Anolis sagrei: one gene and its partners. The protein of the gene in region 2 interacts with the protein of the main gene of each other region in a biochemical or structural test. Links are inferred from orthologs where the notes say so. Each region holds a gene or a part of one and is shown on either strand. Other genes may lie near its edges.

The links.
Region 1: the proteins of HRAS (region 2) and RASSF1 form a complex in vitro, tested with the Homo sapiens proteins (2 studies listed by BioGRID and IntAct, with this or other methods). The link is inferred for Anolis sagrei from reciprocal best matches to the Homo sapiens genes HRAS and RASSF1.
Region 3: the proteins of HRAS (region 2) and RALGDS form a complex in vitro, tested with the Homo sapiens proteins (4 studies listed by BioGRID and IntAct, with this or other methods). The link is inferred for Anolis sagrei from reciprocal best matches to the Homo sapiens genes HRAS and RALGDS.
Region 4: the proteins of HRAS (region 2) and RASSF5 form a complex in vitro, tested with the Homo sapiens proteins (2 studies listed by BioGRID and IntAct, with this or other methods). The link is inferred for Anolis sagrei from reciprocal best matches to the Homo sapiens genes HRAS and RASSF5.

The regions. Positions count from the first base shown.
Region 1 is NC_090022.1:72,797,026-72,804,272, reverse strand, and holds the start of RASSF1 (ras association domain-containing protein 1), read right to left. Parts: upstream 3,015-7,247; 5' UTR 2,910-3,014; coding exon 2,609-2,909; intron 1-2,608. UniProt on the Homo sapiens protein: Potential tumor suppressor. Required for death receptor-dependent apoptosis. Mediates activation of STK3/MST2 and STK4/MST1 during Fas-induced apoptosis by preventing their dephosphorylation.
Region 2 is NC_090021.1:240,068,684-240,076,079, forward strand, and holds the start of HRAS (GTPase HRas), read right to left. Parts: upstream 3,013-7,396; 5' UTR 2,531-3,012; intron 143-2,530; exon of another isoform or gene 122-142; intron 1-121. UniProt on the Homo sapiens protein: Involved in the activation of Ras protein signal transduction. Ras proteins bind GDP/GTP and possess intrinsic GTPase activity.
Region 3 is NC_090031.1:18,839,359-18,846,202, reverse strand, and holds the start of RALGDS (ral guanine nucleotide dissociation stimulator), read left to right. Parts: upstream 1-3,830; 5' UTR 3,831-4,046; coding exon 4,047-4,154; intron 4,155-6,844. UniProt on the Homo sapiens protein: Functions as a guanine nucleotide exchange factor (GEF) activating either RalA or RalB GTPases and plays an important role in intracellular transport. Interacts and acts as an effector molecule for R-Ras, H-Ras, K-Ras, and Rap.
Region 4 is NC_090024.1:195,606,956-195,614,923, forward strand, and holds the start of RASSF5 (ras association domain-containing protein 5), read left to right. Parts: upstream 1-4,934; 5' UTR 4,935-5,079; coding exon 5,080-5,704; intron 5,705-7,968. UniProt on the Homo sapiens protein: Potential tumor suppressor. Seems to be involved in lymphocyte adhesion by linking RAP1A activation upon T-cell receptor or chemokine stimulation to integrin activation.

The DNA of each region.
Region 1 (7,247 bases), on a different chromosome or scaffold from region 2:
GTTGTTGACTTTATATCAGACACCTTCAGGCAAGCTGGAGGTTTGCTTTATTTTAATGAGACATTAATCTCTCTACTCCTTCAGCCAGTCCCCTACTACCTTTTTTAAAAATATGCCAGTGAGGGCCTTAATCTAACCTGCATGTGGTGGCTTTCATCTCTCTAAGAATCCTGTTCACATTCTTGGATTGCACAAATTGAAAAGTACTGATTGCTACTGGACAAACACGGGCCAAAGTTTCATCCACTGAATCTATATTAATACAGCATCCAAGTCAAAGCAGATATGAATGACTAGATCTGCAAAGAGCCAAGCAAATTGTTGAGTGGTTTGGGTTTTCCTTTTTTGGGCATGTGTGGAAAAGACCCCTGACCGCTTCAAAGAGCAGATAGTAATAATAGTGACAACAACATTGTATTTTCTAAATATATTCATCCAAAGTACAATTGACCTTTCCATTCGTATAGCCTTTCATGTGCTATATTCCATACAGAAAAAGTCAGTTGTCAAATAAGTCTATATGCCTAAAATGTATTTTTAAATGTATATTTTTAGGCTTTTTTGGGGTTTAAAGTTGCAATCCTGTGCATACGCCTTTAAAAGAAAGCCTTACTAACATTAGTTGAACTTCATGGTTTGTAGACATGCTTTGAATTGTGCTACCAGAAGGCACAGACTTTGGAAACTTTGGTAGGGACATTTCAGCCAAAGTCAGTGATGTTCTCCAGGAACAAGATTGGGCAGAAGCTGAGGATACTGCTGAGCAGAATGAGCAGGACAGCTTCCAAATGTACCAGGGCTGCTGTGACATATTTTGGACTAATACACAGGTTGCCATAGGGACTCTGAAGAACCTTACATTCAGAGTCACTAAATAAATCATTGTACTACCTGTCAAAATGTATTCTCACCAAAATTGCAAAAAATACCAGAAAGTTTATGGGTGACGCAGAGCAGGAAGTACTCATTCTATTTGGGGTTGACTGTGGTGGGGTGGCCAAGGTCATGGGCCAATTCTGAACACTCTGTTTCATTTTAGCTCTAGCAGTGGTTCTCAGCCTGTGGATCCCCAGGTGTTTTGGTCTACAATTCCCAGAAATCCGAGCAAGTTTATCAAGTGTTAGGATTTCTGGGAGTTGAAGGCCAAAACATCTGGGGACCCACAAGTTGAGAACCACTGCGAATCTAATCACTTTTCCTCCTAGAGTTGAAAATTCTACAAAATTTGCAAGCAACGCTTTCATGCAAACTTTGATCCAATACATAATGTCCTTTAAAAACAACTCCAACTATCATTTCTCTCTCTGTGCTTTAGCTTTGTTGCTAGGAGTTGAAATAAGAGAATGCACAAAAAAGTATAGACTTACTACAAAAGAGACAAAACTCCTGAGTGTATGAAAACTATCAAATATTAGAAGAATTAGGGACGGCACACACTTCTAGTACAGGATTTATGGACATTCTTTTTTTAAAAATCAAGTACTCAATTTCTTCCTAATATTCAGTCTGGATTGCTTACAAAAATAAAACAGCTTGTATGACCAATTGTGCATCAAGTACAATTTCTATCTTTTCATACTGCTGCAAGGCAGACACACACATTTCTTCCACTAGTGAGGAAAACATGAAAGGGGTGGTTCCTGCTGAGCTTCTGCCTTAAGAGCCTCATCACACTTGAGCATCGATCCACTTCGATCTACTTTAAAAGTTGTGACTGTCTCCTGCAGAATGCTGCGGTGTGTAGTTTAGGGAGGCCTATGGCTTTTCTGGATGAGCAGTTTAAAGGCTCCTACCTAAACTACAAGTCCCAGAATTCTGTACAAAGGGGCTGCGGTGGCTCAGTGGGTTAAACCTCTAAGCTGCAGAACTTACTGACCAGAAGGTCTGCAGTTCGAATCCGCCAAATGGGATGAGCTCCCATTGTTAGCCCCAGCTTCAGCCAACCTAGCAGTTTGAATACATACAAATGTGAGTAGATTAATAGGTACCGCTTCTGCGGGAAGTTAACCGGGCTCCTTGTAGTCATGCCACCCACATGACCTTGGAGGCGTCTACGGACAATGTTGACTTTTACACTTAGAAATGGAGATGAGCACCACAACCCAGAGGTAGACTTAATGTCAAGGGAAACCTTGACCTTAAAGTGGATACATGCTCGAGTGTGATGAGGTTGTAATAGGTGTATTTGTATGTGCCTTCCAGTGGGGTTGCTTGTCAACTTAAGGTGACCCCATGAATTTCATAGGATTCTTAGGCAAGGAATATTCAGAGGTGGTTCTGCTAGTTCTTGATTCAGAAATACAGTCAACAGCAGCTGGCACTGGTTGGCAGTCTCCCATCCAAGCACTAACCAAGGATGACCCTGCTTAGATGCCAAGATCAGATAGGATCTGGTGCCAGCTGCCTGGCCTCTAATATCTCCACATGTGAGAAATTGAAAAACAGAGCCAAAACAAAAGTTTGGGGGATGCTTTTGGGTATTTAGGCCTCGTGGGCCAACTTCGGTAACAGCCGGTAGGCTGTTAGGAATGGCGGGAGTTGTCGTCCAAAACACCCGGAGGGCCGAAGTTGGCCCCTGGCTGAGGGTGGGAGAGGCGCGGGTACTCACGGAGGCACTGGAGGGTCTTCTTGGAGGCGCCCCAGATGAACTCCCCGCAGAGGTCGCACCAGGTGGGCTGGCTCTGGGCGCAGGGCCGGAAGCGGTGCCCCTCGCCCAGCTCCTCGGTCAGGCGGGGGTCGCGCTGCCCGCCGCGGAGGCGGATGAGGCGGACGCGGCTGAGGATCTCGGGCACCTTCCCCTTGGGCGAGATCCGCAGCGCGTTGGCCCGCTCCAGGCGGACGGCGGGGCGAGGCTCCGTCAGGTCCAGGGCCCGCTCCGGCCGCAGCGCCCGCAGCTCGATCATCTCCATGGGCCCCTCCTCGCACACAGGCCGGGGCGCATCCCCACGCTCCCAGGCAGAGGCAGCAGCCTTCCCCCTCCCACTCACTTTCCGCCCGACTTCTTCAACTTCTCTCTCTCTCTCTCTCCCCTCCCCGCCTTTCCCCTCTCCTCCTCCTCCTCCTCCCCCCTTTCGAGGCTGCCAGGAAGAAAACTCACTGGCGGTCTTTGTTGGGAAAATGAGAGCCTCTCTTGAAAGCGGGGTCGCTTCCCTGGCTCTAATTATTGTCTACACCAGCCCGTCTGAACTGAGTGCGGAATGCAACTCGCAAGCAGCAAACTCTCAAAAGCGCGCCAAGGAGGGAGGGAGGGAGGGAGGGAGGGAAGAAGGGAAGGAAGGAAGGAAGGAAGGAAGGAAGGAAGGAGGGAAGGGGGAGGGAGGAAAGGAGGAAGGAGGGGAAAAAGGAAGGAGAGGGAAGGAAGGGGAAAAGGAGGGAAGGAAGGAGAAAAGGAGGGAGGGAAGGAAAGAAGGGAGGAGGAAAAAGGAAGGAGGGGGGGAGGGAAGGAAAGAAAGAGGGAGGGAAAGGGAGGGAGAGAAGGAAGGAAGGAGGGGATGGAAGGGGAGGAAGGAAAGAAGGAAGGAAGAAAAGAAGGAGAGAGGGAAGGAGGGAGAGAAGGAAGGGAAAAAGGGAGGAAAGGAGAAAGGAGGGAAATAAGTCTCTTAACCCTCCTGAGTTGCACTATGTCACACGATTTTTGTTCCTGGCTTATAAATGGTTGTTTCCTAATTGGTTCTATCATTAAAAATACATGGAAAAACGTTTATCAAAGTGCACAAAAACTTTGTTTCTGTGGGACATCCTGCAGCACATTTGCTATGGTTTTTTTTCAATGACTATCTGATAGAGCAGGCCTGGGCAAACTTGGGTCCTCCAGGTGTTTTGGACTTCAACTCCCATCGAGTTGGTGTTAGTTTCCCGGGCTGTATGGCCATGTTCCAGAAGCATTCTCTCCTTACGTTTCGCCCACACCTATGGCAGCATATTTGAGAACACAGAAATGCTGGACCACTCTAACAACCACCGTGCCAGACTACACAAAGAAACCATTGAAATCCACAAGGATTCGTTTGGTGGGGCATCCGCTTGTACGACTGCAACCTCCCATGGTTCCAAAGCATTGAGTTCAATGGGTGTCGAACTGTGTGAATCCTACAGTGGAGATTCACCCAAAGGCAGGGAAGCCGGAGAGAGAGTCTTCGGTCACAGTGAACTCCCAACGTCACTCGTTGGTTTCCGACACGAAGAGTCCCCAACTCTGCCTTCGTGTTTCCCTTTCACGAGTGGAAACTATGCGGGTGGGAGGCAGGATGTGGAAGAGACAGCGCAGAGGGGGACGTGCCGCTTCTCCCGCCTCGAAAGGCAAGGGACGACGCCCCAGTTCTCAAGATGGGGAGTTGTAGTTTGACAAGATTTTAACCCTTCTCTGCCCAAGAGGGCCCCCGTATCACGAAACGACAACCTCCCACGACTCCCTAGCAGTGAGCCAGGACAGTCTGATGTGCTATCCAACTGCATGAATGCAAGTTTCTGGAATGATGCGGCCAAGGGAAGCGGCGGGGTGGCTGCTCCATCTTTAAAGGAGGAGTTGGGAGGGAGACCCAAAAGGGCGGGAACCAAAACAGCGAGGGAAGGGGGGGGGGAGGCGTCTTGGCCGGCTCCTTCCGCAGCTGCGTCTCTATAGCGATGCTTTTGGTTGCTTTGCTGCCGGTCGTTTCTCGGAAGCAGGCAACCGCAAGGCTCCTTCAAGAGGCCTTCGTGTCGCGTGGGAAGAGAAGAAACGGGCCCGAAAGAGGAGCGGGGCCAGGTCGGGGGTGTGTGTGCATCTACACACCTTAGAATTAAGGCGGTTTGACACCCCTGGACTGGACTGAACTGAACTGAACTGAACTGGAGCCCTCGGTGGCACAGTGGGTTAAAGCCTTGTGCCGGTAGGACTGAAGACCGACAGGTCGGAGGTTCGAATCCGGGGAGAGCGCGGATGAGCTCCCTCTGTCAGCTCCAGCTCCTCGTGTGGGGGCATGAGAGAAGCATCCCACAAGGGTGGTAAAACATCAAAACATCCCGGCATCCCCTGGGCAACGGTCAATTCTCTCACACCAGAAGCAACTTGCAGTTTCTCAAGCCATTCCTCATAGGAAAAAAAAGCCTGTAGGAACATTTCTTTCTATCAACATTTATCACACCAAGCATAATGTCATGCCTCTTCTGATTCCTAATCCATCTAAAATGCAGGCGTGTGGTTTTCACCTTAAGAACAGACAAGTGCTGAGGATTACTTGGGAAGAAATCCCACTGGAGCATTGCAGCACACCCAAATACCTGGGAGGCACTCCCGTCTGTGCTCCAACTTATAAGAAGCACTGCCTGAATACCAAGCAAAAAGTGGGTGCTGGAAATAATATCGTACAAAAGCTGACTGGCATAACCTGGGGATCACAACCAGACACAGTGAAGACATCTGCCCTTGTGCTTTGTTACTCTGCTGCTGAATACATATGTCCAGTGTGGAACACATCTCACCGCACTAAAACAGTGGATGTGGCTCTTAATGAGACATGCCACAGTATCACAGGATGTCTACGCCCTTCGCCACTGGAGAAACTATACTGTTTAGCCAGTATTACACCACCTGATCCGTCAGGAAGTAGCAGCCAGTAATGAAAGGACCAAGGCATTGACATCTCCAGCCCATCCTCTGTTCAGATATCAGCCAGCAAGCCAATTCTTTCAATCAAGAAACAGCTTCCTAAGATCTACAGAGATACTCGCAGGGACACCTCAGCAAGCGAGAGTCCCAAAGTAGCAGGCTAAAACCTGGTACCTCAATCAGTGGGCGAGACTGATGAGAAACTCACTCCTGGGCACACTGAAGACTGAGTAACTTGGAAGGTGATGAACAGACTGTGCTCTGGCACCACGAGATGCAGAGCCAACCTTAAGAAATGGGGCCACAAAGTGGAGTCCATGACATGCAAGTGTGAAGAAGAGCAGACCACTTACTACAATGCAGTCTGAGCACTGCCACATGCAGAAAGAAAGGCCTTCTCACAGCCAAACCAGAGGCATTCGAAGTGGCCAGCTTCTGGTCATAGGAAATTTTGTATAAATTTTATAGTATAAAGTTCACCCTGGCCAAGTTTTTCACTTTGTGTTTTTTTTAATGCATTATAACTGTATTTTCAATCAACTTCTGACACGATAAATAAATAAATCTCTCTTTACCTTCTCCCCTCATCCTCTCACTTAAACTGCTCCAAATATCATACTCTTTCCTCTTAGAGGAGTTACTCTACTCCTTTGATCATTGTACAGCTGTATAAATTTTGAGAGGCACTTTTTGTAACCAGAACTGTTATTCCAAGTGTCCTCATACCATAGATCTGTGTGAGTGTAGTATTTATTGGCAGTTTTATTTTGTATTCCTTTTCTGACAGTGCTTTCAGTCCAATTTACCATTTTAAAAAAATATCCAGGGTAGGATCTCTCATTTTTGCAAGTACTGTGTAACTCAGAAGACGCGTACTTTTTGGGAGGAGAGCAATGTCCAATCTCGACAAAATTGTAAAGAGTAGAGACATCACTCTGGCAACAAAGATCCGCCTAGTCAAAGCCATGGTATTCCCTGTAGTCACCTACGGATGTGAGAGCTGGACCTTAGGGAAGGCTGAGTGAAGGAAGATAGATGCTTTTGAGCTGTGGTGTTGGAGGAAAGTTCTGAGAGTGCCCTGGACTGCGAGAAGATCCAGCCAGTCCATCCTCCAGGAAATAAAGCTCGGCTGCTCATTGAAGGGAAGGATACTAGAAACGAAGTTGAAGTACTTTGGCCACATCATGAGGAGACAGCAAAGCCTAGAGAAGACAATTATGCTGGGGAAGGTGGAAGGTAAAAGGAAGAGGGGCCGACCAAGGGCAAGATGGATGGATGGCATCCTTGAAGTGACTGGACTGACCTTGAAGGAGCTGGGGGTGGTGACGGCCGACAGGGAGCTCTGGCGTGGACTGGTCCATGAGGTCATGGAGACGACTGAATGAATGAACAACAACAACTGTGTAACTGGAAAAATCATACCTAAAATGCTTTGTGTAGAGATACAGAATTACAGTGCATATTTCAGTATGCAAAAATAAAATGGTAACAATAACAAAAATCAATCTATTTATTACCAGCCAATAAAACACATTTCTCACAATTACAGATTCATCATTTAAGTCAGGAGATTTGATAAGCTATTATTGTGTTCTTTCATGGAAGATCTTGCACAATGTCCAGCAAATTAGTGTCAACCATTTGAAACTAGCAACATTTT
Region 2 (7,396 bases):
TTTCCCCCACCCCATGTTTTCTGGGCTGACAGGAAGTGTTTACAGAAGGTAAAGTCAGTAAAACTGAAGAGGAGAGAGAGAGGGAGGCAAAAAAAGCAGATTGTTTTGCCTCCTCACTTACCTGCCCCCAAGGCTCAGAGGCACAGCAAACGCTGTTGGAAAACCCTCTCCTGGGAGCCTAATTCCTTCTGCAGACAGGAAAGGCAGCCCTTAAGGAACATGCAAAAGGCTGACACGCAAAACAAGCACCCACTGCCCCCTGGTCACATCATCTGAACACATGCCTCACTCTCTCACACAACCCCTCCCCACTCTAGGATAGGTTTCTGCACAGGATCTATTCAGCATGTGCAGCCACTGTTAGGATCTCCTTAAAAGAAGGTGTCCAGAAAAGGATGACCAAAATGAGGAAGGCTGATGGAGCCTGGTCTGTTTAGCTTAGAGAAAAGAAGGCAGACAGGGGACAGTAAAAGGTAACCGTTTCCCCTGACATGAAGTCTAGTCATGTCCAACTCTGGGGGTTGGTGCTCATCTCCATTTGTAAGCCGAAGCTTTGTCCGTAGACACCTCCAAGGTCTTGTGGTTGGCATGACTGCATGGAGCACTGTTACTTTCCAGCCGGAGCAGTACCTATTGATCTACTTGCATTTGCAGTTTTCGAACTACTAGGTTGACAGAAGCTGGGGCTAACAGCGGGATCTCACCCCGCTCGCTGGATTCGAACCACAGAGCTTTCAGTCAGCAAGTTCAGCAGCTCAGCAGTTTAACCCGCTGCACCACCAGGGGACTGCAGCCTAGTGTAAATACCTGAAGACTCTCTTTCTGCAGCTCTGGAGTCTGGGACATAATGGAGCAATGGGTTCAAACCGCAGGAATACAGAGAGATTCCACCTAAACACAAGGAAGAACTTCCTGACAGGAAGAGCGGTTAGAGAGTGGAATGTGCTGCTGCCTTGCAAGCTGGTGGAGTCTCCTTCTCTTGAGAGCTTTAAGCCGAGGCTGGATCGAAATCTGTCGGGGTGTCTTGATCACTTTATAATATAATATCTTTATTCTTATATCCTACCTCCATCTCCCCGAAGGGACCACTTACATGGGGACCAAGCCCAATATAAACAAAGGTTAGGAATAACACTATTAAACACATATAACAGTAAAATATATTTAAACAGCTATTTTTTTCATGTCAGGGGCGACTTGAGAAACTGCAAATCACTTCTGGTGTGAGAGAATTGGCCTTGTGCAAGGATGTTGCCCAGGGGATGCCGAGATGTTTGGATGTTTTACCATCCTTGTGGGAGGCTTCTCTCATGTCCCCGCATGGGGAGCTAGAGCTGACAAAAGGAGCTCAATCCACTCTCCGATACTGAACCGCTGAGCTGTCAGTCAACAGTCCTGCCAGCACATGGCTTTAACCCATTGCGTCACTGAGGGCTCAACTAACGCAATCAAAAACATAGAAGAGTAAAATATGTTAAAACAGTAAAACCAATGAAATGTAAAACATCATAAAACATAGACCAGACATCAAATAACCAGTAGTTGGGGGGGAAAAGGTGGGCCTGTGCAGATTTGAGACTAATAGGGCACGACAAGGGCTGGTGCAAATGCAACACTGTAGGGCTGGGAATAAAGTGCTGGAGAGCCAATCAAAAGATTAGGCTTTCATGGCTGGAATCACTGGATTGTTGTAGATTTTTCGGGCTATATGGCCATGTTCTAGAAGCATTCTCTCCTGACGTTTCACCTGCATCTATGGCAAGCATCCTCAGAGGTTGTGAGGATGCTTGCCATAGATGTAGGTGAAACGTCAGGAGAGAATGCTTCTAGAACATGGCCATATAGCCCCAAAAACCTACAATGACCCAAAAGATTAGGGCTAGGCAGATTTAACAGTGTGTTTCTGCATGGCAGAGGGTTGGACTGGATGGCCCTTGGGGTCTCTGCTAAGTCTAGGATTCCTTTTGCAACCGAAGGACTGACAACAAAGGGGAGGAGCCTGAGCACCTCGGCGCCCGGAGACCAGCGGCGACTCCCTTCAACCCCCCCCCCCCGACGACCAGACCCACCCCGCGCCCCCACGGAGGGAGGGGGAGAGAGGGAAGGGGGGGAGGAGCGCGCGCTCCCCTCGAGGGCTCCGTCTCCAAAAGCGCGCCCCTCTTTCTTTCCCTCCAAAAGAGCCACACAGCCGCACTGGGGAGGCGCTGCGGCAGCCCCGCCCGGGAAGAGAGGAGAGGAGACCGAAGGAGCCTTTGCCTTTGGAAGGGGGAAAGGGGTGGGGGGCGGAGGGCCAGCAAGGCACAATCCCAGCCAAGGGAGAGAGGGAAGGAAAGGAAGGAAGGAAGGAAGGAGGAAGAGTCGGCCGCCTTTGCCTACTCGCCCTCATGAATGACTTTACAAGCCGAAAGGCGCGCGTGGAAGGGGGAAGAGGGAAAGGGGGTTTTCTCCCACGCTATCCCCAGTCTCTTTCGCTCTCTCTCCACCCCTTCAAAGATCCCCCACAAACTGAAAGGAGAAAGGTGCCCCTCACCTTCTACTCGCCGCCGTCTTTTCCCACGAGGCTCTTTCCCTCCCACTTTTCCGGGAGGGCTCTCAAAAGGGAGCAAAGTTCGCGCGTGGGGAAGGGCGGGGCAGGGCTAGAGACCCCAGGCGCCTCTTTTGGCAAGCCTTCAGTTCTCCGTGGGTCCCTCCAGGCAGGGGCGGGCTTCCCACGGAGGCGTCGGCGGCGGAGCCCCCTCTTTGCGTCGCCCTCCCCGCATTGGCCCCGAGCCCCGGGCCGCCACGGCTCCGGCGTGGGTGCGACAAGGCCGGGGCACGACGACCAGGAGGAGGAAGGAGAAGAAGAAGAAGGAGAAGGGACCCACGCCCAACGCAGCCCCGGGCGCTCGTCACTCCAGCCTCTCCCGGAGCAGCTGATAGGGCTCAACCCTCGCGCCCCCGACTGCGGGTCCGGCCTCGCGGTGGGCTGGGGAGGCTGTCAATCACGCCCAGAGGGGCGGGGCCAAGCGCGGGAGGGAGAAGGAGAAAGCCAGCGCCGAGGTCTCTCTCTCTCTGTGGGGCTGAAGGAGGGAGGGAGGGAGGGAGGAGGAGAGGAGGAAGCTCGCCCGCCCGCCCGCCTGCTTTGGGTGGGGGAGTCGCCCCTGGTGTATTTTTAGAGCGTGCTGCTTCCTCCAGGGAAATCAAACCACCTCCTCTGCCTTTCAGCGCTGGGCAGGGCCTCCCTCGTCGGTATGAATTCCCCGCCGAGGCAGCACACTCCCATTTCCTTCCTTCTCTATTTAGGGTCGCGCCCGCCTCCTTCTGAAGGTCTCGGGCTGCCTTCGGGCTTGGGGCCGCCATCAGGCCCTTCTTCTGGGTTTGGTTCGGCTACAGCCGCGAAACGAGGGGCCGGGGGGAGGAATGGGGAGGGGAGTAATGAGGAGGGGAGGGGGCGCCACACAAAGGAAGGAGGGGCCGGGTTCTCGCCCCACGAGACCCCCTACTCCCACCGCCCCGATGGAGGACGGAAACGCCCTTCCACACAACAGCCGAGCATCCTTTATTGGTGCCACCATGCCAGGGCTCTGCCAGTATTCAGGCAGAGGTGAATCAAACAAACACCCAGCTTGTTTCTAACAGTTTAATTAAAGCAGCACTTCGTTTCTGGCTGTTTTAATAGTCCAAAATATAAAAAATAAAGATAGCAGGAAGCCACATAATATAAAACAAAACTGGGTAAAAGTATGATAGCTGGGACCGAGTGCAGATAGTGCTACGCTGATTGCGCAATGGTGGTTGTGAATGAGGAACACGTGTGTGGTCAAGAGACTGGGTGGAGTGAGACCAGGTGGAGTGAGATACGCAGGCAGGACAGAGTCTGCAAGTTTGTAGTTGCTTTACCATTCCCGCTCAAATATTGCTTTACTTGCCTTAAGTGCAATGCTTCCCTGTTTGTTGCCCCCCCTTTCTGTTTTCCCTCCCTCCCCTTCTGACCTGAGTTGGGCTCACCGCATTGTGCTATCAGCATTGGCGAAGCAGCGTTGCAGAATCAGCAAAGTGCTACCTGCACTCGGTCCCAGCTATCATACTTTTATCCAAAACAGATAGTAAACACTGCACCGTAGTCAAAGGGTCCAGTCCAGTGGTCAAATGCCGAGAGTTTAGTGAGAGAAGTCAAAAGTCTATACAATAGTCAAAAGCCAATCCAAAAATTCAAGGTTCCAGGGTTCCAAGAGTTCAGGAGACAGGTCAGGACACCAAAAATCCAGAAAACTTAGGAAAAACCAGCAGCATATACTACCAACATAAAACAAATACTTTTCTCCCAAAGATCAGCCCCGAGGTCAGCTCCTTAAAACCAGTAACACCCAACTGCAACCTATCCTTTGCATCCTGCCACTCTTAATTGCGTTTACCTGTAAACTGTTAGTTACAAATTACTCAGCCCTTTAGAACTAAGACTTACATTAACTCTTCCATCACCAACTGTTGGGTCTGCTACCACCAACCACCATGAACTGCAGGACATGATACATGACAATTGGGAACGCCCCAAACTGGCCACAGTTTGGGTGGTACAATGAACAAAAACTTTGTTGCAGGCACACAATTGGGATCCATAGTGCATGACACTACCTTTGGGCCTATGAGTGTGAGAGCTGTGCATAAAACCAATGAATTGCGTCTTTAGACTTACATCACATTTCTAAGATAATTCATTATATTGTCGAAGGCTTTCATGGCTGGAATCACTGGGTTGTCTGTTGGAAACTAGGAAAACAGGGTTTATATATCTGTGGAATGTCCAGGGTGGGAGAAAGAACTCTTGTCTGTTGGAGGTAGGTGTGAATGTTTCCATTGGCCACCCTGATTAGCATTTGATGGCCTAGCAGTTTCATATAAACCCCATTTTCCTAGTTTCCCACAGACCTCAAAACCTCTGAGGATGCCTGCCATAGATGCAGGCAAAATGTCAGGAGATAATGCTTCTGGAACATGTCCATACAGCCCGAAAAACTTACAACAACCCATAATTCATTATGTTGTGTTGCTGTGAGTTTTCCAGGCTGTATGGCCACATTCCAGAAGCATTCTCTCCCGATGTTTTGTCTACATCTATGGCAGACATCCTCAGAGGTTGTGAGATTTGTTGGAAACTAATATACCAATATACCTCACAACCTCTGAGGATGCCTACCATAGATGTGGGCAAAATGTCAGGAGAGAATGTTTCTGAACATGGCCATACAGCCCAGAAAACTCACAGCAACCCAGTGATTCTGGCTATAAAAGCCTTCAACATTATGCAAATCATCATCATCATGGACAATCATAAGTGGCAAAGTAGGGTTGTCTTTCAAGGGTAGTCTTTGCAGTGACTCCTATTCTGGATCCCTAGGAACTTTCAAAACGAGAACACACATTTCCAGATGGAAGGGGGAGCCAACAAGGGATTCACCCTCTATTTGTGCCTCTTCAAAATCTACAGCACTGCTGGTAAGTTACAATGTTAGAGCCCCAGGGCCTTCCCTGTTCTCCATGTTTATTCCGCATTTTTTAAAGTTTTCTTTAAACCCATCTTTAAATCTCTTTTGCTGTTCACCAACATTCCATTTTGAACATGTTATCTTTTTGTGTTTTTCCATTGCCATGTCTAATACTAAAAGGTTTTATGATGTGAAAATATAGAGAAATAATAATAAAATAACTTTTCTAATCTAAAATTAGAATAAAAAGTGTGCATATGTTGTTTTGAAACAAAGGAGATAGAAAAGTTGAGAAATGGAAAATGAAAAGTCCTAACTAGCACTTTCTACCCTGTCTCTGCTGTCCTCTTTATAATGAAAAAACCTATTATTGTTGTCATAAAACTTCATATCTCTGGTAGATTAACTTTGCAGGATCTCTTGGATACCATTGAGGATCCTGTTATTCTTGTCACTGAATTCTCTTATTTTTTTATTTTCTTGTTCTTCCTTTGCACTATTAATTTTCCCTTGGTGCTATAGAAAACCCGATATTTTCATTTTCTTTTCTTCTTTTAAATAGTAAATAAAAGGCTGCCATTCTTCTTCAGATTTAGAAGGATCTGGCAGTTTTATATGCCTAGTCAGTCTGTCCATTTCTAATTGTATAAACTTGATCAATTTGTCAATTTCTACCTGATCCATCATTTTTGTAATCCATAAATCTTGAGAGGGAATTACTTCATGTTTCCGGTAATCACAAATAATGAAAAGCTCACCTCCTCTTGTTTGGTGAATTTAGTCCATTGATATTTAAAGAAAATATATTTAAAGTCCTTGATCTTAAAATAGTAGATGATCATCCAATTATTCATCACGTGGAGTGGCCTGCTACTGTAGTTGAACATCTTCCTTATTAAGGTTGCCTTCTCTTCTTGCCTTCTTGGATGTTTTCTTATTGGAAAGCCCACAATCTATTGGAAATTTCAGTGCACGATAACCTTATTGAAAAGATAAAAATGATGTCACCTCCGTTTGGGAAAATTTGAATCTCTATGAACTTAGAGACCACTTGAAAACCACAAGTCAGGAATGGCGTGACCTTGTTAGAAGTCAAACCTTAAGACAACTGATATTCATAAAGCATTCATGTGATAGCGCCATGGGTAGCTCAAGTGTTAAACTTAGGAACCATGTCTTTAAACGGTTATGGATAAAGACAGGCCACTACAAAAATCTATCTGGTTAGCAGAGGATGTTTGTTTGAAATAGAATTTGCAGTTGCCCAAAAGATATACACTCCCTTAAAACATGCACTCAAGAGAGAAAACAAAGTAGTCTTCTTTGAAAAAAAAATATAACTTGTTTACTAACAAACTTGTATATATTCAGTATACAGGCACATAGTATTTAAAATGTCTTTAGGCATATCTGTACTCACTCAAATCCCTGAGCACACACATCCACCTCCAGTGAAGTCTGAAACCAAACATATCTCATTGAAGTCCAAAAGTAAACATCTACCTCATTGAAGTCCAAAAGCAAACTACAAAATTGAGTCCAGGTCTGAAGCCCCTCCCACAACAAAGAGGAAAGCCAAACTGGAAAATCAACATACACATAGAATGCAGGTTAACAAATATATATTAACAAACAGTTAGTGAAGGATTGTAAGGTTGCTGTTTCCAACATCTCTTTCTCCTTGGCCTTCTTAAGTTTATCTGTCAGAAAAAAGCAATTTATTATTTCTTTATTATCTGCGGTGGAAATTTTCTTAATACTGCAATCCTGGTATTTCTTATTTCAATTGGATCATTGGTGTTAACTTGCAAAACTTGATCTCATGTTTTCTTTCTTGAAAACAACACAATCACAGCTTATTCCTCATTGCATGTTGGGATTGGACTCCAAAGATGCTGTCAATTTGAGCCTCGAACACTTGCTCTGGTCTA
Region 3 (6,844 bases), on a different chromosome or scaffold from region 2:
ATATATCTAAACTGTTGTAAACCGCTCTGAGTCGCCTAAGGGCTGAGAAGAGCGGTATACAAATAAAGTAAATAAATAAATAAATAAACTACAACTCGCAAATGACAAAGTCATAATTTTTTGAGCGATGGTCACTCCTTGTATTGTGAGACGTTTTGTTCCCAAATTTGGTGTGATTTCGTTCATTGGTTCTTTCGTTTTTAAGATACTCATAATGCACAGAGCATTTTTATATATGTAGATATGAAACAATTTAAAAACCTTGAAAGGTGTGTCTTGAGAAAAAACAGGCCTTTGAGTTTTTCTTGTGTATCCATTAAAAAACATGTTGCGGTGGCTCCACCAAAGGGAGCGGCTGTGGCCGGAGATACGAATAATAATAATAATAATAATAATAATAATAACAATAATAACAATAATAATCCCATGCTGCGTACATTGAGACAATGCAGAGAGTTTGAGTTTTCAATCTGGTCAACAGCAAAAAGCAAGCACGTATGGTCTTCTTCCATTCCAATCGCTTCCTGTTTGTTTATTTCTTATTATTGCTGGAATTTTCCTCTTTTTTGTTTTATTTGTCGGATTTGCTTCGGATAAAAAAGCCGCATTTCTCATTTCTTTGATAACTAAAACCGGCGTCTGTGTGGGGTTGTTCTGGAGCCCTGCTACTTGACGCCCTCGCCCTGCTGCTCGGCCTTATTAGCCTTCTTGAGTCCCTATGTGGAGAAAGGCAGGACAGAAATTAAGATAATCAACATAATATAATAATAAATAAATAAACAAACAAACAGCAGGTTTGATAAGCAACTGGAAAAGGTGGCACGAGACGAGGATTTAAAGATCGAACTGCAAAGACTCTGGCACAAGCCAGTCAAGGGGGTCCCAGTGCAGATCGGCACACTGGGTGCAGTGCCTCAAGACCTTGGCCTACACTTAAAAACAATAGGCAGTGACCAAATCACCATCTGTCCGCTGCAAAAGGCCACCCTACTGGGATCTGCACACATTATTTGCCAATACATCACACAGTCCTACACACTTGGGAAGTGTCCAACATGTGATCCTATACAACAGCCAGCAGAGTGATCTTGTTTGCTGTGTAACAGTCTTGAGTATTAATGGAGCTGCGGGTGGCGCAGTGGATTAAACTCTCCTGCCGGCAGGATTGCTGACCGACAGGTTGGAGATTCGAATGGGGAGGGCAGAGGAGCTCCCTCTATCAGCTCCAGCTCCCCATGCGGGGACATGAGAGAAGCCTCCCACAAGGATGGCAAAAAACATCAAGCATCCAGACAACGTCCCCTGGGCAACGTCTCACACCAGAAGCAACTTCCCAAGTCACTCCTCACACACACACACACACACTCCAGCCAAATATACATACCCTTCCATATGCTATCTATATATGTGTGTGTTTGTGTGAAATTCCCCCTCTTTGATATACAGGCCCCAAGTTACAAACAAGAGAGGTATGTTAAGTCTGAACCGGTTCCTTTATGAAGTGGCACTCCAGCCAAATCTATATCATTAGCTTTGGATGGCATAGAGGTAGGTGAGCTCCCCTGTGCCTCTGTTCAGAAGGTTCCTCCTGGCTTCCCATCCCTGTGAGAATGTGCCAAGATTGGCTTGTTGTTGACGCAAGGGCTGAGGCGAAGCTCCAGCGGAGACCTGCAGGCCACCAGCGGGAAGGTGTTTTCCTTCCTTCGTGTTGATGTGCTCTTGCCATCCTCAGGGGCCGTGCAAGCCCTTTCCTGCCGCAGCGGGCCCCCGATTCTGCCCCGTGGTGCGTTCCCCCGTTGGCACAGCAACCACACATCCGTCTGTCTCCATGGAGATGGGAGTTGGGTACCCACGGCCTCTTCCTCCGGTTGTAGTGGCATCCTGATACAGGCTGTCCCTCCCCGAGTTTCAAATGACTCTTAGTTAAGACCAGTGAGAAAACAGGAAAGAGGAGGAATCCACCCCTTGGAAGCAAGGGAGATCCACTCCAGAAAGAGTAATCCTTCTCAGCGGGGAAAGGGTTCTTCCGGGATTCTTGATCATATATGTGTGTGTGTGTTGCTGGAGCTACATTTATTTATTTATTTATTTATTTATGTAATGTTATTGTTATTCTTATTGGGTTACTGTAATTTTTTTGGGCCGTCTGGTCATGTTCCAGAAGCATTCTCTCCTGACGTTTCACCTGCATCTATGGCAGGCATCCTCAGAGATTGTGAGGGGATTTTGTCAGCGCCGATTGTGTCCAGGCCAAGATCTTGAGGCACTGCGCCCAGTGTGCCGATCCCCACTGGGACCCCCTTGACTGACTTGTGCCAGAGTCTTTGCAGTTCAGTATTTCAATCCTCATATCGTGTCAGCTTTTCCAGTTGTTTCTCTTCAATCCTGCTTTCACCTGGGATTGCAACATTCATGATCCAACTATGGGTTTTTTTGTTTTTGTTATTATTATTATATATTTTATTCTGGAATTATATTATTATTATATTTTATATTATGATTGGTAATGACTATAGGAACGGAACAATGGAAAACGATATTGGATTGTGGTTTGGACGATGAGACGACACTGAATGGTTTTTGTATAATGCTGGATTGTGAATTGTTTTTATACTGTGTCTTGAATGTTGTTGTTCCTCTGTTGTACACCGCTGTGAGTCGCCCCCGGGCTGAGAACAGCGGTATATAAGTAAATAAATAAATAAATAAATATTTTTACTCTAGCACCATTATTATTGTTTTTATCATCATCATCATTATTATGGGAGCATTATTATTACTATTATTTTGTTTATTTGGGCGCATTATCATTATTCTGTTTATTGGGGGACATTATTATTATTATTATTATTATTATTATTTGACTGACATAAAAACACAGTATGTCACAGCAAATCAGACATATATGCCGGATTTCATATTATTATTATAATATTTTTATTCTGGAATTATATTATTATTATATTTTCACTCTAGCACCATTATTATTGTTTTTATTATCATCATCATCATCATCATTATTATGGGGGCATTATTATTACTATTATTTTGTTTATTTGGGCGCATTATCATTATTCTGTTTATTGGGGGACATTATTATTATTATTATTATTATTATTATTATTTGACTGACACAAAAACACAGTATGTCACAGCAAATCAGATATATATGCTGGATTTCATATTATTATTATTATAATATGGAACAATGGCTTCAAACTACAAGAGAGGAGATTCCATCTGAACATTAGGAAGAATTTCCTGACTGTGAGAGCCGTTCAGCAGTGGAACTCTCTGCCCCGGAGTGTGGTGGAGCCTCCTTCTTTGGAAGCTTTTAAGCAGAGGCTGGATGGCCATTTGTCAGGGGTGATTTGAATGCAATATTCCTGCTTCTTGGCAGGGGGTTGGACTGGATGGCCCATGAGGTCTTCCAACTCTTTGATTCTATGATTCTATGATTATATTTTTTATTCTGGTATTATTATTATTATTATTATTATTATTATTATTATTATTATTATTATATTTTTATTCTAGCATCATCACCATCATAATCATCATTATTATTACTATTATTATTATCGGGCATTATTATTATTTTGTTTATTTGGGGGCATTATTCTGTTTATTGGGGGATATTATTATTATTATTATTATTATTGTGTGTGTGTGTGTTTGCACCCCACTTTCTCTCTCTGCAAGGAGACCCCTTCCTCTTCCCACCCATTGCCAGGAGAGGAGAGCCTGTGCAAAGAAGGGCAGGGTGGTCTGCTGAGGGGTGAGGGGTGGGCTGCCTTTCCTCCCTCCCTCCCAGCTGCCCCTCCCCTCGACCCCTTTCCTGCAGCCCAAGGGGGGTGTGCGGTTGCGGTTGGCTCTGCTTCTGCTGCTGCTGCATGCGCATCCTGGCAGCAAGCGGGAGAGCCTCCTTGGGAGACCATGCCCAGCAGCAGCAGGGGGCCCCCTGCCTCCCTGTTCTTGGTTGAAGCCCCGTTGGAGCAGGGGAAAGGGGGAAGCCGCCGCCACCGCAGCAGGAGCAGCAGGCAGAGATGGAGCCCAAGCCTTTGTTCTGCATGCAGAAGGCGCTGGTGCAGCCCTTCCAGATGTGCATGCTGGACATTCCCCTCAGCCTCCAGCACAGCCAGGAGGAATACTATGTAAGTAGGATTTGTGGCAAAAAGGGGGGGGGGATCCCCACACACACAGGCACGCGCACGCTCACCCCTCCGTGCCCCCACCCACCTATTTCACCTGTTCCCACACTCAAGGGTCTCCGCTGTGGCTGTTGCCTTGGCTCACAGGTGCTCCGGCCTTCGAGTATTATTACTATTATTATTACTGTGGGGATTACTATGATCTCAGTGGACACAGCTGCTCTTCTTCTTCTATTATTATTATTATTGTTATTATTGTTATTATTTGATGATCTTGGTAGACACAGCTGTTCTTCTACTATTATTATTACTGTTATTATTATTATTACTATGATGATGATGATGATCTCAGTGGACATAGCTGCACTTCTATTATTACTATTATTACTATGATGATGATATGATGATGATGATCTCAGTTTACACAGCTGCTCTTCTACTATTATTACTATTACTATTATTATTAGTATGATGGTGATGAGGATGATGGTCTCAGTGGACACAGCTCCTCTTCTTCTACTACTACTACTACTACTACTATTATTATTACTATGATGATGATGATGATGATGATGATGATGATCTCAGTGGACATAGCTGCTCTTCTATTATTACTATGATGATGATGATATGATGATGATGATGATGATGATGATGATGGGGGATATGATGATCTCAGTGGACACAGCTGCTATTCTACTATTATTATTACTATTACTATCATTATTAGTATGATGGTGATGAGGATGATGGTCTCAGTAGACACAGCTCCTCTTCTACTATTACTACTACTACTACTACTATTATTATTATTATTATTATTATTGCTATGATGATGGTGATGATGATGATCTCAGTGGACATAGCTGCTCTTCTATTATTATTATTATTATTATTATTACTATGATGATGATGATGATGATGATGATATAATGATGATCTCAGTGGACACAGCTGATCTTCTACTATTATTATTACTATTACTATTATTATTACTATGATGGTGATGAGGATGATGATCTCAGTGGACACAGCTGCTCTTCTACTATTATTATTACTATTATTATTACTATGATGGTGATGAGGATGATGATCTCAGTGGACACAGTTGCTCTTCTACTATTATTACTACTACTACTACTACTATTATTATTACTATGATGATGATGATCTCGGTGGACACAGCCATTCTTCTACAATTATTATTATTATTATTATTATTATTATTATTATTATTATCTTGGAGGACACAGCCATATCTGTCATATGCAAGGCTGGGATGGGCTGGGGGAGGGCTAATCAGTTGAAGGTTCGAGGGTTGAATGCAAAGTAATGCCTCCACCTTTGTAACTCCTCAACAGATGGCAGTACTGGTATGCGGCAGGTACTGGCTTGTTCAGTAGACTCTCCTCTACAGTTCCATTTTGGCAGGAAGCCTTAGCATTGAACGGTTGTGTTGTTAAATTGCGAAGTATGGAACCCTGCGCAGACGGTCAGTCAATGCAACTTAAGCAACATGCAGTCATTGAATTATTGACAGCAGAAGGTGTCACCTCAACATCTTTAAACTTACTCGCCCAAAGACAAACAGTACTCACGTCAACACAATCCCCATAAACAGCTTGAATCCTCTGATGAATCTCCTTTGGGGGTGACATCTAGGAGTTACAAAGGTGGAGGCATTACTTTTCATTCAACCTCGTAAATCCAGGCAAGACAGAGGTCCTCCTGGTCAGTCGGAAGGTGGATCAAGGTGTTGGATGGGGACCCACTCCCCCTGAAGACATAGGTCTGCAGCCTGGTCCTGACCCTGGACTCATTGCTGAGCTCATTGCTGAACCAGGAGTGCCTTTGCACAGCTTGTGCACCAGCTTGTCCCTCGATACGCCAGACCTGGCCATGGGAGTCCATGCCTTAGTCACATCCTGCTTGGACTGCTGCAATGCTGTCTATGCCTTTGAAGATAGTTCTGAAACTCCAACTGGTTCAGAGATTGATGGCCAGGCTGCTTGCTTACTTACTTAGGCGATCCCTTGTAGCTCGAGGATGATGGTCTTCCAGATGTGGTGTCTTGGCGGTGGGTCTGTAGGTGGCTGTGGAGCCCGCAGTGAGGACGTCGGTTTCCAGACAGAAGGTGGTCCCAGTTGGGGTTGGCTTGACGTGCCTTCCTCTTGGCACATTTTTCCCTTTCGCCCTCCATTCGTGCCTCTTCGAATTCTTCAGCACTGCTGGTCACAGAGCGCTCAAGAGCCAGAGCTTCCCAGTTCTCTCTTGGTGTCTATGTCACAGTTTTTGAGATTGGCTTTGAGCCCATCTTTGAACATCTTTCCCTGTCCACTAACATTATATTTCCTGTTCTGGAGTTTGGAGTAGAGTAACTCCTTTGGGAGACAGTGATCTTTGGGTATTCGGACAACATGGCCTTCAGTCCAGCAGAGTTGGTCCAGATCCATCATTGTTTGAGCCCACAGTGCTCTCTGGATGTAGGTGAACTACAACTCCAAAACTCAAGGTCAATGCCCACTGAATCCTCTCAGTATTTTCTCTTGGTCATGGGAATCCTGTGTGCCAAGTTTGGTTCAATTTCATCATTGGTGGGGTTCATAATGTTCTTTGATTGTAGGTGAACTATAAATCCATCAACTACAACTCCCAAATGTCAAGACCTATTTTCCCCAAACTTCACCAGTGTT
Region 4 (7,968 bases), on a different chromosome or scaffold from region 2:
AATTCAGGTACACGTGAACTGTTTCACATTTCAAAACAATGCTGAAAACCAGAGAAGAGAGTCTAGGCCAGGCATGGGCAAACTTTGGCCCTCCAGGAGTTTTGGAACCCAATTCCCACAATTCCTAACAGCTGGTAGGCTGTTACGGATTATGGGAGTTGAAGTCCAAAACACCTGGAGGGCTGAAGTTTGCCCATGCCTGGTCTAGGCCCAGAAACCTCTGCCCTAAAGTGTATCTACACTGCAGAATGAATGCAGTTTGACACCACCTTAACTGCCATGGCTCAGTCCTAGTAGCTGTAGTTTTACAGATCTTTAGCTTTCTGTGCCAGAATGGTTAATGCATCACCAAACTGTAAATCCCAGGATTCCCTAGCATTGCACCATTGCAGTTAACGTGGTGTCAAACAGCATTAATTCAACAGTATAGCTGCATCCCTAGAGGGATCTTAAAGGAGTGAATGTGAAACAGAGAACAGAAGAGAAGAGGAATTCTGTTTAGCAGGAATAAGAATTCTGCACTTGTACTTTGTGGACTGTGCAAAGCATTGGAACACTGTATGTGCCAGGTTCAGTATAAAATAAGCAATATTGCTGCTGTTTAATTACAAGTTTGATTTAATTCTGCAAATTGTTTACACCTTTGCTGTTTATATTTACAGTGTTTATTTCTAATTGGCTCCATAGATCCCAAGGAAGTGGTGTATAGGCTTTACTGACTTAGGCTATATCCACACTACATAATTATAGCAGTTTTACATCATGTTAACTGCCATGACTCAATGCTATGGAATTTTTGTGTAGTTTTGTGAGATGTTTACCTTTTTCTGTCAGAGAGCTTTAGTGCCACAAAAAGCTGCAAATTCCAGGATTCTATTGGATCGACCCATGGAAGGTAAAGTGGTATCAGACAGCTGCAATTCTCCAATGTGGTTAGTCTTTTAGTCATTTTGTCTGAATTATAGAGTTGGAAGAGACCTCATGGGCCATCCAGTCAACCCCCTGCCAAGAAACAGGAAAATCGAATTCAAAGCACACCTGACAGGTGGTATTCAACCTCTGTTTGAAAGTCTCCAAAGAAGGAGCTTCCACTACACTCTGAGGCAGAGAGTTCCACTGCTGAACAGTTCTCACAGGAAGTTTTTCCTAATGTTCAGGTGGTATCTCCTTTCCTGTAGTTTGAAGCCATTGTTCCGCATCCTAGTCTCCAGGGCAGCAGAAAGTCAAGGATGCTCTTTTCATTGAAAGACAATTGGCTCTTGGTACTCATAGATTTAGCCACTGACAGCTTGATTTTTTTTTAAACAAACTTTCATGTAAGGGACACCATTTACTATGCCATTGTATATAACAAGACTTGCGTTTCCATGGATTTTGGTAACCATGGAAGGTCCTAGTACCAATTCCCAGCAAATATCAAAAGCCCACTGTATCTTCTGCTATAATGCAAAACATGGGGATAATCTTAGTGTGCAAATGATATTCATTAACCTTACAAAAAGACCATTTCTGGTGGTGGGAGATTGATCGAAATAGTTTGTTGTTATGCATAGATATAACTGCCTGCACTATTAGGTCATAAGGAGCACCTGCATTTCAAAAATTACCATTAAGCCACTGGGTTGTCTTTGTACTATGAGAGAAGATAATGGAAAACATGAAAAGAAACCAGACCTTGGTGGAAACTTACTGCACATAGAACATGCTGCAAAGAATGGAGCCTTTTCTCCCAGGGCATGAAACTCCTGAGAGATCTAACCTCACTATGCCTGTCTGTACACAGCTTAATGGGTTTTCTGCCCCTAGTGCCAAAGATGTACAAAGCCAAGACGGCTTGGTGTATTTTCGTGAGGCTTTCTGTCTCTTTATCCAGCTGATGAAGCCTCCTCTAAAGTCCTTGAATCTGGTTTAATGAGAGCCCATCTACCTTTGTGAAGGAAAGAGGGAGCATTTCATTTATTGTAGAAGAAAGGGATGGGCACATAATACAATTCCTGCACTGCTCCAGGAGGCTTTTATTATTTTTTTCTGGATGAGAAAATGTCTTTTACAGATGCAGAAAAATACTTACACTGGAAGGACGTTGGAATAATTGACCTTCAGAGGTCCTTTTCAACTCCAATTCTATGACTCTCTTCTGTTATTATCATTCACATACTTTTTATGTTTTTTCAATTCTATCCCTTGTAATTTGGCCCAGACTGCTGTGCACATTTCTATTATTTTATTTCATTACCTGTGTTTGACTTTGTATTACCTTGTTTTGTCTACATTTTATTTCATGTTTATTATTTGCAGCATGTATTTTATTTTGATCTGTTGTAATTGTTGGGCTTGGCCTCATGTTAGCCACTCCAAGTCCCCTTTGGGGAGATGGTGGTGGGATAATAATAATAATAATAATAATTATTATTATTATTATTATTATTATTATTAACACAACAAGATGAGTCCACAGCAGACACTCTGCTGGCTGTTGTATTAGATCATGCATCGGACACTTCCCAAGTGTCTAGGACTGTGTGATTTATCAGCGAATAATGCATGCAGATCCCAGTATGGTGGCCTTCTGCAGCTGGCAAATGGTAATATTGTCAGCGCTGATTGTGTTTAAGTGCAGGCCAAGGTCTTTAGGCACTGCATCCAGTGTGCCAATCATCATTGGGACCACCTTGACTGGTTTGTGCCAGAGTCTTTGCAGTTTGAGCTTTAAATCCTCATATTGTGTCAGCTTTTCCAGTTGTTTCTCTTCAATCCTGCTGTCACCTGGGTTTGCAACATTGACAATCCATACTTTGTTTTTTAACATGATCATGAGGTCAGGAGTGAGGTGCTCCAAAACTCTGTCTGTCTGAATTCAGAAGTCCCAGAGGAGTTTGATGTGTTCATTTTCTGTAATTTTTTCCGGCTTGTGATCCCACCAGTTCTTTGTTGCAGGCAGATGGTATTTGCGGCACAACTTGTTATTATTATTATTATTGTTGTTGTTGTTATTGTTATTATTATGTTATTGTTTGCCTTGAGGTCTTTTTTGACCTAGGGGTGCATCTACACAAGAGAATTAATGCATGCAGTTTGACACCCCTGTAGCTACCACAATTCACTACTATAGAATTATAGAAGTTGTAGTCGTACTCCAATGCTCAAACATAGGCTCCTATTTATTATTAGTTTTTACCAATCCATCAAAAAGCCCTGGAAACCTTCCCTTCCTCCAGGACTAAAAAAGAAAAAAAAACCTTGGGTATATTATCTTGGTCAATGGCCAGCAATGAAAAAACACAATATAGAATAAGGAAAACATAAAGTAAGGCAATAAAATGTCAGTATTTGAACTAGAGCAAAGAAACAATGTGAAATAGAAAAAGTTAAAAACCAATGATGAATAAGCCTTTGACAACACAATGACAACACAATACTGTACTCTCAGGGCTCTTCCACTGAGGGCCCTTTCATACAGCCCTATATCCCAGAATATCAAGGCAGAAAATCCTACAATATTTGCTTTGAATTGGGGTATCTGAGTCCACACTCAGATAATGTGGGATTTCCTGCCTTGATATTCTGGGATATTAGGCTGTGTGGAAGGACTCACAATCATATAACTCAGATTATTGAGGCAGAAAATCGCTGAAGACCTTCAGAATATACAATATTTTCTGTTGGCAATGGGGGTTCTGTGTGGGAAGTTTGGCCCAATTCTATCATTGGTGGGGTTCAGAACACCCTTTGATTATAGGTGAACTATAAATCCCAGCAACTACAACCCCTAGATGTCAAGGTCTGTTTTCCCCAAACTCCACCAGTGTTCATATTTGGACATATTGAGTGTTTGTGCCAAGTTTGGTCTAGATCAATCATTGTTTGAGTCCACAGTGCTGTCTATATCTAGGTGAACTCCAACTCCCAAACTCAAAGTCAGTGCCCACCAAGCCCTTCTAACATTTTCTGTTGGTCATGGGAGTTCTGTGTGCCGAGTCTGGTTCAATTCCATCGTTGGTTGAGTTCAGAATGCTCTTTGATTGTAGACGAACTATAAATCCCAGCAACCACAACTCCCAAATGATGACATCAATCTCCCCCAAACCCACCAGTATTCAAATTTGGGCATATTGGGCATTTGTGCCAAATTTGGACCAGTCAATGAAAATCCATCCTGCACAGGCTCGTAGCCAGGATTTTGATTTGCGGGTGGGGGCTGAGTTTGATTGGGGGTGCTGAGGTTGATTTTGGGGAGGGGGGCAGAGGATCTACCCTAGCAAACCTTTGGTATCATTATCCCAATACCCCCATGCCTATGGGATATATTGATCATGGTGATCAGATCATGATATGAATAAACACAACAGTTTAAATAATGTACCAGTAAGGCCTTCTCATGGACCACCCTGAGAATTTCGGGGGGGGGGGGGGCTGAAGCCCATCAAGCCCCCCCCCCCCGGGCTACATGCCTGATCCTGCATATCAGATATTTACATTCATAACAGCAGCAACATTGCAGTTATGAAGTAGCAACAAAAATAATGTTCTGGTGGGGGGTCACTACAACATAAGGAACTGTATTAAGGGGTCAGGGTATTAGGTAGGTTGAGAACTACTGGTTTAACCCATTGCACCACCGGGGACTCCCCCATTCCTGGTTAAAGATAGTCATACCTTTAATCCTTGCACATTAACCAAGCTATTGCTGCTGCACGATGCGTAATAAGCCTCTGAGCATGTGCAGAATGCCTTTCTCCCCAAACTTTGTTGTATTTTTGGTGAGCTAAAGAGGAGTCGGGAGTTGTAGTGCGGAGAAGGATGGAGAAAGACCTGGTGGAAGGACAGCTCCCGGGAGGGGCTCCCTAGAGAGGCAGGAGTGGTGTCAAGGCGCATTAGCCCCGCAGACAGGGGCCCGGCGAGGCCGCGGGGCCTGGCTCCTCCTCCTCCTCCTCTTTTGCAGGTCCCTTTAAGAGCGCCTGCGCTGCCGGCCAGGTCGCTCTCTCGCAGACTCGGAGGAAGGAAAGAAGCAAGGAAGGGCGGGCGGGCGGGCGGCCTCCCTCTCTCTCCCTCTCCGTCTCTCTCTGCTCCTCTGGGGCCATGGCCATGGCTTCTCCGGCCGTGGGGCAGTTCCCCCCGTATCCGCCGCTGCTTCTGGACAAGGAGCAGCAGCGCTTCCTGCAGAGCCTCAGCGCCTCGGAGAGGAAGAAGCTCCGCAAGCGCTCCCTGCCCGCCGGCAATAGCGACCTCCTGCATCCACAGCAGCAGCAGCAGCAGAGGAGGAGGAAGAAGAGGCAGGCCGGGGGGGCCATGGAGGGGGGCGAGGAAGAGGAGGACGAAGGAGAGGAAGGCGCCCAGGAGGAGCAGCAGCAGCAGGAGGAGCAGGACCAGGAGGAGGAGGAGGGAGGACAGGGGCGCAATGCGGAGCCGCCGCGGGGCGCCAACCTGCGCCTCATCCTCGAGCCTCCCGAGGAGCCCTCGCCCGCCAAGCCCGCCTCGCTCCCCTCTCACCCGCACCACCACCACCACCACCAGCGGCTCCGGCTGAAATGCGGGGCTCCACGGCTGCTCCCCGACGTGCGCACCATCTTCGAGCAGCCCCGGGACCCGCGCGTCCGGCCCGAGAAGGGCGAAGGGCACCGCTTCCAAGGCTTCGCCCTCGTCTGGCGCGGGTGGTGCGACCTGTGCGGGAGGGAGGTCCACCAGCGGGGCCTCCGCTGCGCCAGTAAGTGCGCCAAACAGGGGAGCCGGGGGGCGGGCGGGAAAGGGGCAACCCCGTGCAATGCAAGGACCGGCCCTTCCTGGAAAGTTTGGGTGCCCAGGCCCATTGGACACAACCTAAGGGGCTCCCCACACACATCCACACCTGAACTGCCCACCCCACTTCCCTCCTTGCTTCATATCTACTATTCCAGTGTTTCTCAACCCTCCTAATGCATTAACCCCTTAATACAGATCCTTATGTTGTGGTGACCCCCAACCATAACATTATTTTTGTTGCTACTTCGTAACTGTATAATTTTGCTACTGTTATGAATCTTCATGTAAATATCTGATATGCAGGATGTATTTTCTTTCATAGGGCCTAATTTGGTACAAATACTCGCCCAAATTTGAATACCGATGAGGTTGGGATTGATTTTGTCATTTGGGAGTTGTAGTTGCTGGGGTTTATAGTTAATCTTCAATCAAAGAGCATTCTGAACTCCACCAACGATGGAATTGGACCAAACTTGGCACACAGAACTCCCATGACCAACAGAAAATACTGGAAGGATTTGGCAGGCAATTGACCTTGAGTTTTGGAGTTGTAGTTCATCTACACCCAGAGAGCACTGTGGACTCAAACAATGATGGATCTGGACCAAACTTGGCACAAATACTCAATATGCCCAAATGTGAAGTGAACACTGGTGGAGTTTGGGGGAAATAGACCTTGACATTTGGGAGTTGTAGTTACTGGGATTTATAGTTCACCTACAATCAAAGGGCATTCTGAATACCACCAATAATAGAATTGAGCCAAGTTTACCACACAGAACCCCTGTGACCAACAGAAACTACTGTTTTCTGTTGGTCTTTGGTGACCTCCACAGGGGTCCCAACCCCCAGGTTGAGAAACACTGTACTATTCCTTAGATCAGGCCTGGGCGAGCTTGGGCCCTCCTCCAGATGTTTTGGACTTCAACTCTCACCATTCCTAACAGCCTAACAGCCTCCCCCTTAAGCCTCAGCTGCTTAAGGGGGAAAAGGAAAGGGCCTGACGCTGTTAGGAATGGTGGAAGTCCAAAACATCTGGAGGGCTGAAGTTTTCCCATGCATTCCTTAGCTGCACCTCTTATGAAGCACCTCTTGTGCAGCAGCCCAAACCTATAGACTCCTAAGGCACAGAGGAGCATTTTAAGGGGGTGCTTCTTGATTCTTCCGTACTTGGGGGGTAAAGTTTAGCAACATGTTCACCACATGAGCCTCACCTAGCAGAGCAGACACATTGAGAGACCACCAGTGTCTGGAAGCCTTCCTCCATGTGCCACTCATTCCTTTTAAAAGCTAGACACCCTGATAGAAAACAGGTAAGAAAAGCGTAAGCAGCTGAAGGGGGAAAGGAAAGGGCCTGAGGCTGTTAGGAATGATGGGAGTTGAAGTCCAAAACATCTGGAGGGCTGAAGTTTGCCCATGCCTGCCTTATGCACCTCTTATGAAGCAGCCCAAGACATGGTCCTTCAGATTGTTGTTGTTCATTCGTTCAGTCGTCTCCGACTCTTCGTGACCTCATGGACCAGCCTACGCCAGAGCTCCCTGTCGGCCGTTACCACCCCCAGCTCCCTCAAGGTCAGTCCAGTCACTTCAAGGATGCCATCCATCCATCTTGCCCTTGGTCGGCCCCTCTTCCTTTTGCCTTCCACTTTCCCCAGCATAATTGTCTTCTCTAGGCTTTCCTGTCTCCTCATGATGTGGCCAAAGTACTTCAACTTTGTCTCTAGTATCTTTCCCTCCAGTGAGCAGTCGGGCTTTATTTCCTGGAGGATGGACTGGTTGGATCTTCTCGCAGTCCAAGGCACTCTCAGCACTTTCCTCCAACACCACAGCTCAAAAGCATCGATCTTCCTTCGCTCAGCCTTCCCTAAGGTCCAGCTCTCACATCCGTAGGTTACTACAGGGAATACCATGGCTTTGACTAGGCGGATCTTTGTTGCCAGTCTGATGTCTCTACTCTTCACTATTTTATCGAGACTGGACATTGCTCTCCTCCCAAGAAGTAAGCGTCTTCTGATTTCCTGGCTACAGTCTGCATCTGCAGTAATCTTTGCACCTAGAAATACAAAGTCTGTCACGGCCTCCACGGTTTCTCCCTCTATTTTCCAGTTGTCAATCATTCTTGTTGCCATAATCTTGGTTTTTTTGACGTTTAGCTGCAACCCGGCTTTTGCGCTTTCTTCTTTCACCTTGATTAGAAGGCTCCTCAGCTCCTCCTCGCTTTCGGCCATC